Linked DNA regions of Sus scrofa. The protein of the gene in region 1 purifies or fractionates together with the protein of each later gene. This does not show direct contact. Links are inferred from orthologs where the notes say so. Each region holds a gene or a part of one and is shown in the gene's direction. Other genes may lie near its edges.

Evidence for each region.
Region 2: the proteins of SAE1 (region 1) and SUMO3 purify together in Homo sapiens (affinity purification with mass spectrometry; 3 studies listed by BioGRID and IntAct, with this or other methods). This does not show direct contact. The link is inferred for Sus scrofa from reciprocal best matches to the Homo sapiens genes SAE1 and SUMO3.

Annotation. Positions count from the first base shown.
Region 1 is NC_010448.4:52,975,615-52,983,844, forward strand, and holds part of SAE1 (SUMO-activating enzyme subunit 1), read left to right. Parts: intron 1-2,329; coding exon 2,330-2,503; intron 2,504-4,925; coding exon 4,926-5,068; intron 5,069-6,817; coding exon 6,818-6,917; intron 6,918-8,230. UniProt on the Homo sapiens protein: The heterodimer acts as an E1 ligase for SUMO1, SUMO2, SUMO3, and probably SUMO4. It mediates ATP-dependent activation of SUMO proteins followed by formation of a thioester bond between a SUMO protein and a conserved active site cysteine residue on UBA2/SAE2.
Region 2 is NC_010455.5:207,478,783-207,487,112, reverse strand, and holds the start of SUMO3 (small ubiquitin-related modifier 3), read left to right. Parts: upstream 1-2,750; 5' UTR 2,751-2,973; coding exon 2,974-2,994; intron 2,995-5,958; coding exon 5,959-6,087; intron 6,088-8,330. UniProt on the Homo sapiens protein: Ubiquitin-like protein which can be covalently attached to target lysines either as a monomer or as a lysine-linked polymer. Does not seem to be involved in protein degradation and may function as an antagonist of ubiquitin in the degradation process.

The DNA of each region.
Region 1 (8,230 bases):
TATCCAGAGGAAATAAGACTCAGATGGATCAGAAAGCAATCTGTAGCAGAAAGACAATTTGAGAAATAACAGCAGCTTTTGGTAGAAACTAAAAGGCATTGAGTTGGCTTATGGAGCTGTATAGAGTGAAAGGATGAGTGGTTCTGAGGTGGAGTCCTGAGAACAGCCACACCTCAGAGAGTCCATGTAGAGATGGGAATGTCCAGTGAGGGAGAAGGAGAGCTAGGCTCTCTGAGGCCAAGAAGCGGAGCATGGGTGGTACTGACTGACACTGGTAGAGTGATGAGTAAGTGTCCTCACCTGTTAGGTATGAGTCCCTCAGACTCACTCAAGATCACACACTTAAGTGGTTGAGCCAGGACTTGAATCAAAGATTTGGATCCAACCTGAATTATCACAGAGCCTTGCTCTTAACCGTCACGCTGTACAATCCCTGTATGTGGTGAGATCCCTGAAGAATTGTGCAGGATAGGTCAGGATCCTGGCTTTGAACAGGAGGGAAGGAAGAGTGTATGCTGTGGCTGGTTGGCAGGAGAGGAGGACAATTACTTCTGCTGACCCCAGTCTTGGTGAAGGTGGTGAGGTCAGACATGGAGATTAATGGTTAAATTAGGTGTTTTGGGGGTTTTTGTTTATTTTGGTTGTGCCATTGGCATGCAGAATTTCCTGGGCCATAGATCAAACTGTGCCACAGAGGTGGCCCAAGTTGGTACAGTGATAGCACTGGATCCTTAACCTACTAGGCTACCAGGGAACTCCTATATTAGATGTTTTTTGTGTGAAGAAAGTTTTTTTTTTTTGGTCTTTTTTTTTTTTTTTTAAGGGTCGCAACCCTGGCATATGGAGGTTCCCATGCTAGGAGTCTAATAGGAGCTGTAGCCACTGGCCTTTGCCATAGCGGCGCCAGATCTGAGCCTTGTCTGCGACCTACGCCACAGCTCACGGCAACGCTGGATCTTTAACCCACTGATCGAGGCCAGGGATCAAACCTGAAACCTCATGGTTCCCAGTCCGATTCATTTCCACTGAGCCACGATGGGAATTCCCCCAAGAAATGTATTTTGAATAGTGAAATCTGTAATCCTATTGGTGGCTGTCAGGTGATAATATTATCTGTTTTTGAGGCTTCTGCTGACATCTGGCCTTATAAGTGAAATTATCCCTCTGCTCCAGCCTCCCCTCATCTCTCCTCCTGTCCGAGTTTTGACTGAATATAAGAGTTTATTTCAAACATTCTTAATTGTGTCTGATTTGCATTGATCTAATTTTTTTTTAAGATTTTTATTTTTTCTATTGTAGTTGATTTACAGTGTTCTGTCAATTTCTGCTGTATAGCAAAGTGACCCAGTCATACATTATATATATGTATATGTATTATATATATATGTATATTCTTTTTCTCACATTATCCTCCGTCATGTTCCATCACAAATGACTAGATATAGTTCCCTGTGCTATACAGCAGGATCTCATGGTCTGATTTTAAACCACTTGTAAGTAGGGACTACATCCTTTAAACTCCTTATGTATTTCTACATGGTTTAGAGTTGGGCACATGGTAGGTATTCGGTTAATTCTTAGCACTGATAATTATGTCATATCGTTAATTTTCAGTTACAAACTTACTTAAGGAAGCAAGGACTTTCTTGTTTAGAGTGAATTTTCATTATAAACACAAGGGGGTGCTCTTTAACTGTGAATGCCCAGTTTAAAAAAAAAAAAAGTTTTTGAGAGTTCTCTTGTGGCTCCTGGAGTTAAGGATCCATTGTCCTCACTGCAGTGGCTTGGGTCACTGCTGTGGTGCAGGTTTGATCCCTGGCCTGGGAAATTACACATGCCATGGGTGAGGCCAAAAGAAAAGTTAAATATCTATTTTATTTTACTTTGTTTTATTTATTTTTTATCTTTTTAGGTCCACACCTATAGCTTGTGGAGGTTCCCAGGACAGGGGTCAAACCAGAGCTGCAGCTGCTGGCCTACACCACAGCCATAGCAATGCCAGATCCGAGCTGTGTCTGTGACCTACACCACAGCTCATGGCAATGCCGGATCCTTAACCCCTGAGTGAGGCCAGGGATCAACCACATCCTCATGGATACTGGTGGGGTTTGTTACCGCTGAGCCACAATGGGAACTCCGTTAAATATGTTTTAAAATCTCAGAAGGAGAGAGTATAGGAACTCTGCATTGGGCAAATTCCTATAGGAATAGTAGTAATACAATTAAATGGTAGATACTTTAGTTATCCTTCAAAATGGAAAAATCCATTTGTTTTCCCCCTAAATTTAGGTATTAAAATATATATATATATATATATATATATTTCTAGGTATCACCAGAAGACCCTGGAGCTCAGTTCCTGATCCGAACTGGGTCTGTTGGCCGAAACAGGGCTGAAGCCTCTTTGGAGCGAGCACAGAATCTCAACCCCATGGTGGATGTGAAGGTGGACACTGAGAATATAGAAAACAAACCCGAGTCATTTTTCACTCAGTTCGATGCTGTAAGTTTCATAGGGAATGTAAAATCTGCGGTGGGAATTCAGCAAATTAAAGCATTAGTGGCATATATACTAGGTACACTGGAGCATTAGAATTTCAGATCTGAGTGTTTTCCCAAGTAGATTTATAAGCTGTTCTGTTCTTTAGTTTTAGTCTGTTGCCTTACAGATGGAAGTCTTACATTGCCTTAGTGTGTATGCTTTATTAGTGTGTTGCCTTAGTATATTGAGTGTATTGGTAGGTAGATCCAGTCTGTTGAATCAGCTGTAGTTGCTTGTGAGTTGCTATCTTTTTTTTGTCTTTTGTCTTTTTAGGGCCGCACCCGCGGCATATGGAGGTTCCCAGGCTAGGGGTCTAATCGGAGCTACAGCTGCCGACCTACACCCAGCCATAGCAATGCCAGATCTGAGCCCTGTCTGCAACCTACGCCACAGCTCACGGCAGCGCTGGATCCTTAACCCACTGAGTGAGGCCAGGGATCGAACCTGAAACCCCATGGTTCCTAGTCGGATTCGTTTCCGCTGCACCACGACCAGAACTCCTGAGTTGCTATCTTTTGGTTTCTCCTTTGGGCATATTTTCCCCAAGACCAGGTTTCGTCATTGGTGTTTTGTCTTCTATCCAGAATCTTTGCATGTAGCTTCTATACATTTTATTGCAAATGTTTTCTCCTGAAAGCTTAACAAGTTGGTGATTAATTTCTTGCAGCAGAGTCATTTTTTTGTGTGTGTTAGAAATATCAAACTACAGCTTGTGTTTTGTCTTTAAAAAGAGCACACCTGATCTTGGTCTGTCTATGTCTCGCTCACGCAGCCACTTTGACCATGTTGCCATGGATAACTAGACAAAATCACTATAGTCATAAGCCAAATGAGCCATGTCCAACCTCATTTGATTTCACTGCCAAATCTTTGCAGAGGTGAAAGGAGAAGTTAAGTTCTGTTCAGTATCTGTGACCTTTCAGACGTGGTTCCCTGTACCCTGGAAAAGCTTCACAAATGTTGGATAACCATGAAGTAGTCGCACATGACCTACTTGTTTTTTTTAAATGAAAGGCCCATTACATGAAAGAGTGAAATCTGGGTTTGGTAGTTTGTTTTTCACACTGTTACATTTCATATGTGCATCTGTTCAAATGTGGGCTTGGAATGGTGATCATCTGTGCATTTGTCCCTTTTTAAAAAAATCATTCTATTTTGTAAGTTCAGGTACTGGAATATTTTCCATTTGGACCTAAGTCCTCTCTTCATGTCTTTATCCATAATAACCACATTTGGTGTACTCTAGGTGTCCCTTGAAAGCTTAGTTGGAACCAAACCAGGGGTTTGTTGGCTTGTATCACACGTGTTCACGGGGCAAGTGTGACGTCCTTGTGTTTGAGCCACATTTGACCGGTCCTTGAGGTTTTAACACTCGCTTTTGACTTCAGGGCTTCATTTGGTCAGTTGGTTGTATGTTCAACTGCCGCTGTCTTATCTCTTTGATTTTTTCCTCGGGTGCCTGCACCCTTTGAATGGCAGCAGAGGTTCATATTTCTCTGTAAGCGTTATTTCAGTATTCAGGCTACCAGACAAGAGCAAAGGGGTTTATCAAATGAAAATATCATTTTGTGATTTTCCAGCTTTCAGTGTTCAGAAGAAAACATGTGCAATTTAGAAGGTGTCTTCTTGGCCCTGATCACAAAGCTTCTCCCCAGAAGAGACCGATGTTCTGTGCCTTAAAACTTAGCTGTTTCCAATACCTCCATTTACTGGAAAACAACCTAGAGGTGTCAGAGCCACTTTGATAATTCCACTGAGTGAATCACCAGCTCATTGTCTAGGTCTGAATGGGAGGTCACTTGGTCTGTAACCTTTTCTTTTGTCCTTAAATTCAGATAAAGTTTCACATCGAAAACTGGAAAAATAATCTCAATAGGACTTGTTTATCTTCTTTATCTTAACATATCTATCAAAAGAAGGAAGGAAAAATGCCCTTGTATTTAAACATGACCTTTAGGTGAATTTCAGAAACTAGTTTTGCTTCTCCCTATAGCTTATTCCAATTTTAATAGGTTTAGTAAGTTAGAAATAATTCACTCTAAGTTATATTACTATTGTCTTTTCATGAAAACTATGAAGTGTGGTTTATATATGTTCATGAATTAGGGGAGCAAGTTCATGGAATGCCTTTCACTCTCCTGCTAAACACGTCTCGTTCTGGTTGCAGAAGGTAAAGTGACGGTCTCATAATTTACGTTTTCTGTACACTGAAACATTTCTTTTGTCTTCATAGCATCCGAAGAACCTGTTGTACCAGTTTGAAACTGCTTTTTAGACATGCCCGATGCCCAGAGAGACTGTTCATTAAGATTTATTTAGACATCAGGGGCAGTGATTCACAGTCTGCACAATTCACACCCAGCTGCTTTCTTTCTTTCTGCAGGTTTGTCTAACTTGCTGCTCCAGGGATGTCATAGTTAAAGTTGACCAGATCTGTCACAAAAACAGCATCAAATTCTTCACAGGAGATGTTTTTGGCTACCACGGATACACATTTGCCAATCTTGGAGAGCATGAATTTGTGGAGTAAGTTTGGGGAGAGGAGGAGAGAACATAGCATTTTCAAAATGTAGTTTTTTGTTTTTTTGTTTTTTTTTTTTTTGCTTTTTAGGGCTGCACCCGAGGCATATGGAGGTTCCTAGGCTAGAGGCCTGATAGGAGCTGTAGCCACTGGCTTACACCACAGCCACAGCTACGCGGGATCCGAACTGCATCTGCGACCTACACCACAGCTCACCGCAACGCTGGATCCTTAATCCACTGAGCGAGTCCAGGGATGGAACCTGCAACCTCACAGTTACTAGTCAGGTTCGTTAACCACTGAACCACAATGGGAACTCTTCAAAATGTAGTCTTATTTACTGATCAGAAATGAGCCATTTAAGCAAAGTAGATTGCTATAACATTTAGCATTTTGGAAAACCAGTTCATTACCAGCTTACTGAATACGTGGATTGTATGTTCAAATTGCAAGAGACATGGCCCTGCCTTTTCTAGAGCATGAGGAAAGCACACCACAGGGGTATGTTATCTGATCAGTCTGGCCTTGTGGTGGTAAAGCCACAGTCTGTCTAGGGGAGACGTGTTTGGATTGTAAACATTCGTTCCCCAGCTCGGGTTTGCTGTGTTCAGGGTGAGCGATAGTAAAGTGAGTATTAAATAGTTAGATGGGTGGCTCTGGAGGTATGTTGTACCACAGTCCACCTTGGGAAAGCTCCAGGGTCCAGAAACTGCTCTGGTGGAGCAAACAGATCTCCTCTCTAAACGTTGAGGTTGCAGACCGTGGTGATTCTCATGAGGGGACCTGCAGTTTTGAACTCGTAGCTTCTAGATGAAAGATGGCAGATGACACCAGCGTTGTTAAAGTACATGAGTTGTTTGGGGTTTGTAACTTTTGACCACCCACCTTGCTGATGCGAGGTGAAGAGAGGCCCTGTGAGGTAGGTGAAGCCTCCACTGAGAGTCAAGAACTGCTTTCTTGGATTCAGAGTCTCAGATAAGTCACTGAAATTTCTCTGGTCTACAAGTTTCTTGCCTCTGAAATTGAGATGGGGGAAGGCCAAACATTCAAAGTCTCTCGTAACTAATGTTTTATGGCTTTAAGAAAACCTAGTTCTTTGTGCACATTATAAATGGATAAAGAAGTCATAGTAGGAGTTCCCGTTGTGGCTCAGTGGTTGATGAACCCGACTAGTATCCATGAGGACGTGAGTTCAATCCCTGCCCTTGCTCCGTGGGTTAAGGATCCAGCGTTGCCGTGAGCTGTGGTGTAGGTCGAAGATGCAGCTTGGGTCTGGTGTGGCTGTGGCTGTGGCTTAGGTGGCAGCTACAGCTCTGATTGGACCCCAGCCTGGGAACCTCCATATGCCGAGGGTGCAGCCCTAAAAAGACAAAAGACAAAAAAGCAAGTCAGTAGGGGAAGAAGGCCAGGTGATTTTAATGTACGCTCCTTATGGCAGGGGAAGGGATTAAGTTCAGCTCTCTAGCACAGGATTCAAGTAGAATGTCTACAAAGTTTACTGAGAACTTACTATGTGCTGGGCAGTGTGCTAAGTGTGTTATTTCTCTTTCAATAATCCTGCAAGGGTTGTTACTCCCACAGAGTGGCTAAGTGCCACATCAGGTAATCAGTGGCCAGGCTGGGATGTGAACCCAGATCTATACGACCTTTTGCTCTTAAATATCATCCTGCTCAGTGAGCTGGTGATATTCTTTTTGTTCTAATGGCCTGATTAGTAGGCTAGAACTTGATCCCCTCCCCTTGTCACCCTCTAGGGAGAAAACCAAAGTTGCCAAAGTTAGTCAAGGAGTAGAAGATGGACCTGATACCAAGAGAGCCAAACTTGATTCATCTGAGACAACCATGGTCAAAAAGGTATGGGTTGGGGGTGGTCAGGGAGGGTGCTGTGTCAAGGTTCAGAAGTCCTGTGGCCTTGGAGGGGACAGGCCATAACTATTGCCAGCAAGGGAAGCATGCATGTTGTCCTGAAGGGAGGAGTCTGGACAGACAGGGCCAACACTTGCCCCATTTAAAGGGGGGCAACTGCACTTAGCACCAGCCAGCTGTAGCCTTGGGGGAGTGTGGACCTAGTGATGCCAGAGAATCAGAAATGTAGACTTGGAGGGAGGTGGTCTGCCCTCCTGCCATGCACAAGTTCCCTGGCCAGGGATCGAACCTTGCCATAGCAGTGACTTGTACCACAGAAGTGACAACACTGACTGCGTAACTGCTAGGCCACCAGGGAACTCCTGTCCCCAGCTTTTTTTTTTCTAGGGATGCTCCTGAGGCATGTGGAGGTTCCAGGCTAGTGGTAGAATCTGAGCTGTAGCCGCCAGCCTACACCACAGCCACAGCAGCTTGGGATATGAGCCTTGTCTGTGACCTGCACCTCAGCTCACGGCAATGCCAGATCCTTAACTCACTGAGTGAGCCCAGGGTTAAACCTACATCCTCATGGATACTAGTCAGATTCGTTTTTTTTTTTTTTTTTTTTTTTGTCTTTTGTCTTTTGTTGTTGTTGTTGCTATCTCTCTTGGGCCGCTTCCGCGGCATATGGAGGTTCCCAGGCTAGGGGTTGAATCGGAGCTGTAGCCACAGGCCTACGCCAGAGCCACAGCAACGCGGGATCCGAGCCGCGTCTGCAACCTACACCACAGCTCACGGCAACGCCGGATCGTTAACCCACTGAGCAAGGGCAGGGACCGAACCCGCAACCTCATGGTTCCTAGTCGGATTCGTTAACCACTGCGCCACGACAGGAACTCCCAGATTCGTTTTCTGCTGAGCCACAATAGAAACTCCCCCAAACTTTTTTTTTTTTTTTTTTTTGTCTTTTCAGGGCCGCACCCTCAGCATATGGAGGTTCCCAGGCTAGGGGTCTAATTGGAGCTGTAGCCGCTGGCCTACGCCAGAGCCACTGCAACACGGGGTCCCAGCTGCACCTATGACCTACACAACAATTCACGGCAATGCCGGACCCTTAACCCACTGAGTGAGGCCAGGGGTGGAACCCACCACCTCGTGGTTCCTAGTTGGATTTGTTTCTGCTGTGACACGACGGGAACACCGAGACTATTACTCTTAAAGAAAAATGTTTTTCTTTTCATATTGATAGACAATTTAGTAAGGTTCTAAGTAAGCTGGGAGACAGTTTAAACTTGAATTGCTTAATTGCTTTTTTAAAATAA
Region 2 (8,330 bases), on another chromosome or scaffold:
GCCATTTGGTGTCTTCAAGCAGAGCTTCAACATACTTCATACAGATTTTCTGATCGTTCAAAACCATAGGCTTTTTTTTTTTTTGGCTGCGCTCACGGCATACAAAGGTTCTCGGGCCAGGGAGCCCACGCCACAGCAGAGACCCAAGCCACAGCAGTGACAACACTGGATCCTTAACCTGAGAGCCACCAGGGAACTTCAAAACTGCAATAGTTTTATAATTCACTTTTAAAAAATGTATCAGCAGGAGTTCCCGTTATGGCATAGCGGGTTAAGGAACTGGTATAGCCTCTGTGAGTGTGTGGGTTCCATCCCCGGCCTTGCTCAGTGGGTTCAGGATCCGGCATAGGTCGCAGAGGCGGCTCGGATCTGGTGTGGCTGTGGCTGTGGCATGGGCCCCAGATGCAGCTCTGATTCAACCCCTGAGCTGGGTACTTCCATGTGTCGCGGGTGGGGCCATAAAAAGAAAAAAAAAAATGACTCAACATATGCGCATCTCTTCCTGTCACCAAGGACTCTTTTTTTACACATTTCTTTTACTGGGGACGCAGGCTTTCGTCCTACGAATGAACCACAGTTCGAATCCTTACTGGAACACCTTTAGATACTGCATTTCATCAATTCTAAGCCATAGGTTTTTCACCCTTCAGCAAGTCTGAAACCAGGACGTCTTCCGTCCAAAACCTGTCTTGGTTTAACGCGTCTGTGCTAAATAAACCAATTTCATGCTTTACAGCTGATGGTGTCTCAGAGCCGACGACGAACGATGGGTCCAAACGCCGCCTACGCGAAGCTACCCCACAGCCCGTCAGCCGGGGGCAGTTCTGGGCCCCACTGTCCATCTCTGTTCTGGAAGGGGCCAGTTCCCGGAGACCCCCCTCTCCAGGAAGCAGAGCTTGAGCCAGTCGTTGTACCCGAGGGCCCCCTGGTAGAGGCGACACCGTCCGGACTCCAGGACCCTCAGTCCTGGCTGAGATGGAGGTTGGCTCTGCTCGGACCTTTCGATGGAGAGACTTCGTCAGCCTGCTACGTGGCAGCTCCGTTTCTTGGAAGCGCCTTCCCTTCTCCTAAACGGGGCCTCTAGCCAAGGATGTGATTTTTTTTTTTTTTTTCATTTTTGAGGGCCCCACCGGCAGCAGATGGAAGTTCCCAGGTTAGGGGTTGAATCAGAGCTATAGCGGCCGGCCTACCCCGCGGCCACAGCAACACCAGATCCAAGCCATGTCTGCGACCTACACCATAGCTCACAGCAACACCGGCTCCTTAACCCACTGAGTGGGGTCAGGGATTGAACCCTCATCCTCATGGATGCTAGTTGGGTTTGTTTCAATGGGAACACCCAAGGAAGTGTGTTTTGAAGGGTCCAAAGTGGTTTGTGAAATTAAGGCCCATCAATACCTGGCCCTGTGGCCTTTCGACAGCGTCAGGAAGCAAGCAGAACCCCGTCAGCAGGGCCTTCAGATGGAAGCCATCTAGTGACCTGGGTTCAAATCCAGACCCTGCCACCTCCTAGTGCGTGACCCTGTGCAACCTTCATTCCCTGACCGGAAGAACAGGGGGCTAAGGTCCCTGCTGCAGAGTGTTGTGAGCCTTGATGCGTGCTTGGGACCACAGCCGGCACACCCGAGGGGTCAGTCCACGTCGGCCACTGCTGGTCCCTTTCCTCTGAGGCATGGGGTGGAGACGGGGAGGGCAGGAAGAGCCAGGGCCTCAGAATCCTGGAGGGCTTCCTGACCAGGGCCCATTCTTCACCACATTTCCCGAGGTTGCCTGAGTGCCCGTTTCAGCCTGTCCTGCTGGGGTTGAGCCCTGGGTTTGTCCCGAGGCAGCAGAGCACACTGGTCAGACACACGGACCACTGCCTGTGCTCACATCCCAGCGGCATTGCTCACCCACGCTAGGACGTCAGGTAACTCAGTTTCCTCACCTGTAAAATGGGCTGATGTAAAGGTCAGGTGCACAGCTTCCAGGTAGGGTAGCAAAGCGGTCCCCACCTGCCCCAGGTGCTCGGCTTCCACTGGCCAAGCTCAGAAGGGGGCTGGACAGGGGGAGAAGAACAAGCAGCCTAGCCCATCACAGAGAGAGGCTTCTGCCTCCCCGTCTCCCTCCCAGAAATGCCATTTATGCCTCCGTCCCCTGGGATCGCAGAGTGGAGGTGGCCGGACCTTGGAGCCTGAGTGGGTTTGCTAAAGGAAGTCATGCCCTGACTCCTTGGTGGACGGAGTGGCCGGGTGGGTCAGCCTCCACCCCTTCCTTCACTCCACTTCGAGGTCCGACACTTGGCTCCGGGCGAAGGCAAGCTGCACCTTCCCCAGTAGTGGGGGCGCCTCCCAAGACACTGTTCTCACTCACGTCCCCTGGAGTGGCTCGCCTGGCTGGCTTTATTTTCCTTTTTTTCCTCTGAGAAACACCGTAACCAGAAAAGAAAAGCAGTGGGTGCACTTAGGCTTGACTGGTGCTGCTGCAGTAGGGGGACCAGTTATGGGGACCAGAGCAGGGGCCGTTCTCAGGCTCCATGATAAAGCGCAAGGCCTCCTGGCCCGGTTCTCTGAGCACCTCGGGGTTCCAGTTTGCCCCCATCGCTGCCCCGTGTGCCCCCTGGGTCCCACCGTCCCCACCCTAGCTGCCCTGCACGCCTCCCGGGTCCCAGCGCGCCCCCCACCCCTCGGGCGGACCCGAGCCCCCGCTGCCTTGGGAACCCCCAACCCCGACGCCGGATTTCGCGGGGCCCCGCCCGGTGACGCATTTCCAACCGCCAGGAACCTCGGCCGGCAGGCCAGGCGCGCGTCCGACGCCCCGGGGTCGCGCCTCGTGCACGCGCGCCCACCACGTGACCCGCGCCGGCCAACCGGCGCGCAGGGATTTGGGGGCAAAGCGCGGCCCCGAGAGCAGTTGCGGCGGGAGAGCGGCGGGCCGAGAGCGTGAGTCGCCCGCCCGGCGCTGCTGCTGCCCCGCCGCCCGCCGCGCGCAGCCATGTCCGAGGAGAAGCCCAAGGTAAGGGCCGTAGGGCGCGGGCCCGTGCTCTGCCTCCAGCCCACGCCGCCGTCGCCGCCGTCCCCACCCCCGCCTGCGCCCCGTGCTGCACCGCCCTCCGACCCGCCGCCGGCCTCTGGGGCCCGGGGTCCGCGGCGCCACCCGGCTTCCCCGGCCCCCTCCCCCGCGCCGCCGGGCTCCGCTCGGCTCCCCTCCCCCGCCCGGCCGCGCGCCCCGCCGCGCGCCCCCTCCCTCCGCCCAGGCCCCTCCCTCCGCCCAGGCCCCTCCCTCCGCCCAGGCCCCTCCCCACGGGGCCCGCCCCGTCCCGAGCCCCGCCCCTCCCAGGCCTCCCCCCCCAAGACACGAGCTCCACCCCCACGGCCCCGCCCCGCCCCCGAAGAGCCCCGCCCCGTTGTCTCGGCGAGTGGCACCCCTATCCTGGACCATCCTGGACCCTCCTGGACCTGACCCTCCTGGCTGGGACCCGCCTGGGTCTCCCCTCGTCCCCCTTTGGGACCGCCCCTCCCCAGAACCTCTTTCCTCTTCGGACTCTCCCCCCGCTGCGCCCCTCATGCCAGGACCGAAGGTCCTGGCCTGCCTGGGCCCTACTGCCCCTCGGAGGGCCTCCTCCTCAGCTCTCACTGCGGAGAGCCCGAGGGGGCGCAGGCTGGGGACAGGGGCTCTGAGAGGCCTGACCTGTCTGGAGGCACGGTCGCCCCCCTGGGCGTGCGCCCACCTCCCCCGTCGTTTACTGTGTGCCCCCTGCCGCCCTTCCCCCAGGCTGTCAGGTCTGCGCCCTTGAGTCTGCTGCGCTGGCCCTTAGCCCTCCCCCTCCTATTAAAGACGGGCTTCTGGACCCTTGGGGTCAGTGTTTTCCAAGTAGCAGATCTGCTGCGAGTTGAACGATGGCGTGCAGGCTTTCTCTGCTGCCAGCCCCGCTGGAGGTTCCCCCCCTGCAGCTGAGGCTGGAGCCCAGGAGGCAGAGCTGGGGTTGGGGTCCAGGGCACGGAACCCCTGGTCACCAAACCCCTGGTCAGAGACCCCCTGGTTGAGCCCCAGGTCGGGAGCCCACTGTGGGGCCTGTGAGAAGAGGTGCCCTCAGGAGCTTCCTCTCTCCGGGTGCAGTTGGAGCTTTGTTTTTTATTCTATTTTATTACTTCTTTTTCTTTTATTTTGGCTGCCCCATGGCACATGCAGTTCCTGTGCCATGGGTTGAATCCCAGCAGAGCTGTGTCCTATGCTACGGCTATGGTAACATTGAACCTTTACCCACTGTGCCTGGTATCGAACTCATGTCCCTCCCTGCCCCTGCAGAGACCCGTCAGTCCCTTTGCGCCACAGCAGGAACTCCTGCCTTTGCTTTTTCCTTGCGGCCAGTTACATTTCTCACTCAGCCTTTGCTAGCGCTCGCGCCCTGGATCCTTTGTTTATTGGAGGCTGAACACAAGCGCCCCTTCTTCATGCTTTCTGGGGGCCTCTTTCTGCAGTTTAAATGCGATGAAATACACATAGATCTCATTCCTTCGGTGTGTTTAAACTTAGCTCTCCCACGTGGTCCAGCCCACAGCCCAATTCAGTTGAATAAACTTGTTTTCACTGCTTTCCAGACAAGGCCTCGTGCCCCACCCCTGCCCACCACAGCCTCGCTGCCTGCCGAGCTCTCCTCTGGGCCTGGGGGTGGTAGGAGGCCCGCTCCAGCCCATCTTGGTGAAAAGAAAACCTTGGGATCCGTTGGGAGGCCAGTTCTGCCTCCCTGGAGAGCACAGGCAGAGGCCTGCTGGTCGGAACTGTGGGTCTTGTCCACCCCCTTTCTTTGCAGTAGTTCACTGGCTTATTGGGAATTCACCAGGGCCGGGCACAGGCCATGTGGTCTCGGTGCCTTCCTCTGCCTGGCCTTCAGCCCCTGCCCTGTCTCTGTCTGCTTTGTGCTCTGGCCCCTGCGTCTCATTGAACACACCAGTACCTTCTCATTAAAAAAGCAATGCATCCTATGTCCACATGCAAAGAGAATAAAGTTGGAGGCATTCCCCTTGTGGTTCAGTGCTAAGGAACCCTGCTAGTACCCATAGGTTTCGGGTTCGATCCCTGGCCTCGCTCGGTGGATTAAGGATGTAGCATTGCTGTGAGCTGTGGTGTAGGCCACAGACGCAGCTTGGATCCTGCCTTGCCATGGCTGTCCTGTTAGGCCGGCAGCTACACCTCCGATTGGACCCCTAGCCCGGGAACCTCCATATGTTGCACATGTGGCCGTAAAAAAAAAAAAGACTGAAGTTGGATTTTTCTTGTCACTATATGCAAAAATTAACTCAAGGTGGACCAAGGACCTAAAACAGTACAACTCTCGGGAGAAAACAGAGGAAAGCTCCATGACATGGGACCTGGCAGTGGCTTCTTGGATGTGACACCAGTGGCACAGGCAGCATGAAGAAAAACAGACAAACTAGACTTCGTGAAAATTGTAAAAATTTTGTACATCAAAAAACACAATGGGAGTTCCCATTGTGGCTCAGTGGTATGAACCCGACTCGTATCCATGAGGACGTGGGTTCGATGCCCGGCCTTGCTCAGTGGTTTAAGGATCTGGCGTTGCTGTGGCTGTGGTGGAGGCCGGCAGCTACAACTCCGATTTGACCCCTCGCCTGGGAACCTCCAAATGCCATGGGTGCGACCCTAAAAAGGCAAAATAAGTCAATGAATGATTTTTTTTAAGTGATCTCAGGGCAAAGATGGACTTGCCCTCTGTGGGTTCCGGGGTCCGTTAGGCGGGTGTTCTCCCTCGAATCGAGTCTGAAGACATTAGACGTGGGACGTGTTAGAAGTTCTGTGCGGAAATCAAGGCTTCTGGGCAGAGGTGGGATTGCTGGAGCGAGGGGGGAATTGGGTTGGTTCCAATGATGTCGGGGAGACCAGCCGCCGCCGAACGCTGGCCTTTGAGCGGCGGGCAGTGGGGAGGCGGGCGGAGGCCAGATCCGCGTGTCGTTGCAGGAGGGGGTGAAGACGGAGAATGACCACATCAACCTGAAGGTGGCCGGGCAGGACGGCTCCGTGGTCCAGTTCAAGATCAAGAGACACACGCCGCTCAGCAAGCTGATGAAGGCCTACTGCGAGCGCCAGGTGCGGTGGTGCTGGAGCGCCTGCGCGTGCCTGCGTGTGCACGCGTGTGCACTTGTGTGTGCGCGTGTGCACCTGTGTGTGTGCGTGCCTGCGTGCCTGTGTGCATGTGTGCCTGCGTGTGTGCTTGTGTGTGCCTGTGTATGTGCGTGTGCCCCTTTGTGTGTGCGTGCCTGCCTGTGTGCTTGTGCTTGTGTGTGTGCACGCCCCCCCTCCCCGGAGGCCCTCCCTCTTCTGTCCCGTCTCCTGCAGGCTGGCGGTCGCTCCATCTTTAGCAGGTAGGGCACCCGTTGCCCCTGGTCGGGTTGCCTGGCAAGTCTTCCTGGTGCTGCTGGGATCATAGCGGGGGGTTCGCGTCCCCCTTCTCCTCCTCGGCGTCTGTGGAGACCCGGCCTGGCTTGGTTTCCAGACAGTGCTTGATTCTTGCCCTTTCTTTATTGCTCTTCGAGGTCGGGAGCAGAGGCTCTCATGCCCCCCACAGGGACCCGTGAGATGGACCGCTTCCGTGTCCCTCTCGTGTGAGCGGGACTGTGTCCTTGGGCCCCCACGGGAGCCGGTCCTTTCTGGCGGTGGCGTTTCTCCGGATGCTTTGGAAATAGCGGACCTCAGTTCCTGTTCTTGCCTTGGATGCTCTTTGCCTGGGCTTGTGCTTGTCGCTGTTATGAAAAGCACCTGAAACTCCACGCCTTCGTCTTTCTCGCCTCGCTTTTCAGACCTTGCTCTTCAGAGGCCATCACTGCCCAGCTTTTTTCCTGCGTTTTCGGGGTGCGCGTGTCCGTGCCTCTCCTCCTCGTCCTCTTGATTTGGAGGTGGAGTTCTCCTGGGACAGGTGGGCTGAGCCCTGCCACGCCATCCGCGCCCACCCGCAGCCCCTGTGCACAGATTCTGGCCTCGACGCCAGTCCTTTGCTCTGGAATCTCCTGATTCTGTCGTGACTGGGGCGGAGCTGCGCTGCTCCCAGGGCCACACGGCGACCTGTGCTGATTTCTGGCTCCTGCCCGAGCCTGTTTCTCCTGGCCTGGTGGCAGTTGTGTGTGTGCCCCGTGCCCCGTACTGCCCGCCCTGCTGCCTCACCCCCACGCCCTGGGTCTTTGCTGTCCCGTCGTCCCTCCCGGGGCCCCTCCCTTCCTGCCCCACTTTGGAAGGTTCTGGAAGCATCCTTAGTCCTCTCCTGTGTGTTTTCTGGATTGATCTTTCCTCCCTGTTTTGATGGAGCGTATCTTCCTGTATCTTGTTCAGAGAGTGTGTAAGTGCTGCGTGTCTGAAAAGTGAATTGCTTTATAAACCTTCACACTGACTATTTGCAAATTTCTTCCCTTTTTTTTCAGGGCCGTGCCCACAGCATGTGGTAGTTCCCAGGGTCGGGGTTGAATTGGAGCGGTAGCCACCAGCCTACACCACAGCCATGGCAATGCCAGATCTGGCCTACACCACGGCTCACGGCAACGCCAGATCCTTAACCCGCTGAGCGAGGCCAGGGGTCAAACCCGTGTCCTCCTCAATACAGGTCGGGTTCGTTACCGCTGAGCCATGATAGGAACTCCTGAATGTTAGTTTCTAGGTTGAAACTCATTTTCTTCTTGGGGACTTACTGCAGCATTTACTTGATTTTCCACTGCTGGTGTGGAAGGTTCAGTGCTGCTCTGACTCTGCCCCCTGGTGCCTCTCTGCCAGCTTTAGGGGCCTGATTGCGTGATCCGAAATGTCACTGCCGTGGGCTTTGAGGCAGGTGGCCTTTTCATCTCCTTTGCTGGGCGCTTTGTCCAGACACTGTTGGCCTCAGGCAGCAGGCCTTGGCCAGCTCCTGGGGAGCGTGTCCCTCCGTGGCCCGCTCCCCTTCGTTTCGCCCTGCCAGCCTGCAGCACCTGCTCCGTGGGGTGCGTTTGCATCATTTCTCCCCGTCGTGCGTGGGGTTGGGTGGCTGTTGGTTTCCTCTCTGGGAGGTTTTCTGAGTTTTAGGGACAGGCTTGCTCCTGTCATGATTTCTCCTTTTCAGAAGGTCTCATCCTTTCCTGTTTTCCGAGGCTGCTTTTCCCCGGGGGGAGCTTTGTGTTCTCCCCTGCCCCAGGGCTTCAGGTGCGCCTGCGTCTCTGCAGGTGCGTGGGCGCACACGTCCGGATGTGCGCCGACCCCTCTCCCCCTGTGCCCTCCTCGTCTCTTGCCTGCTTTGGTTTCATCCCTCGCGGGGCAGAGTCTTTCTTTAAATGTCGCCCCTCCCTGGCTGAGGGCTCTCATTTCAGAGCGAA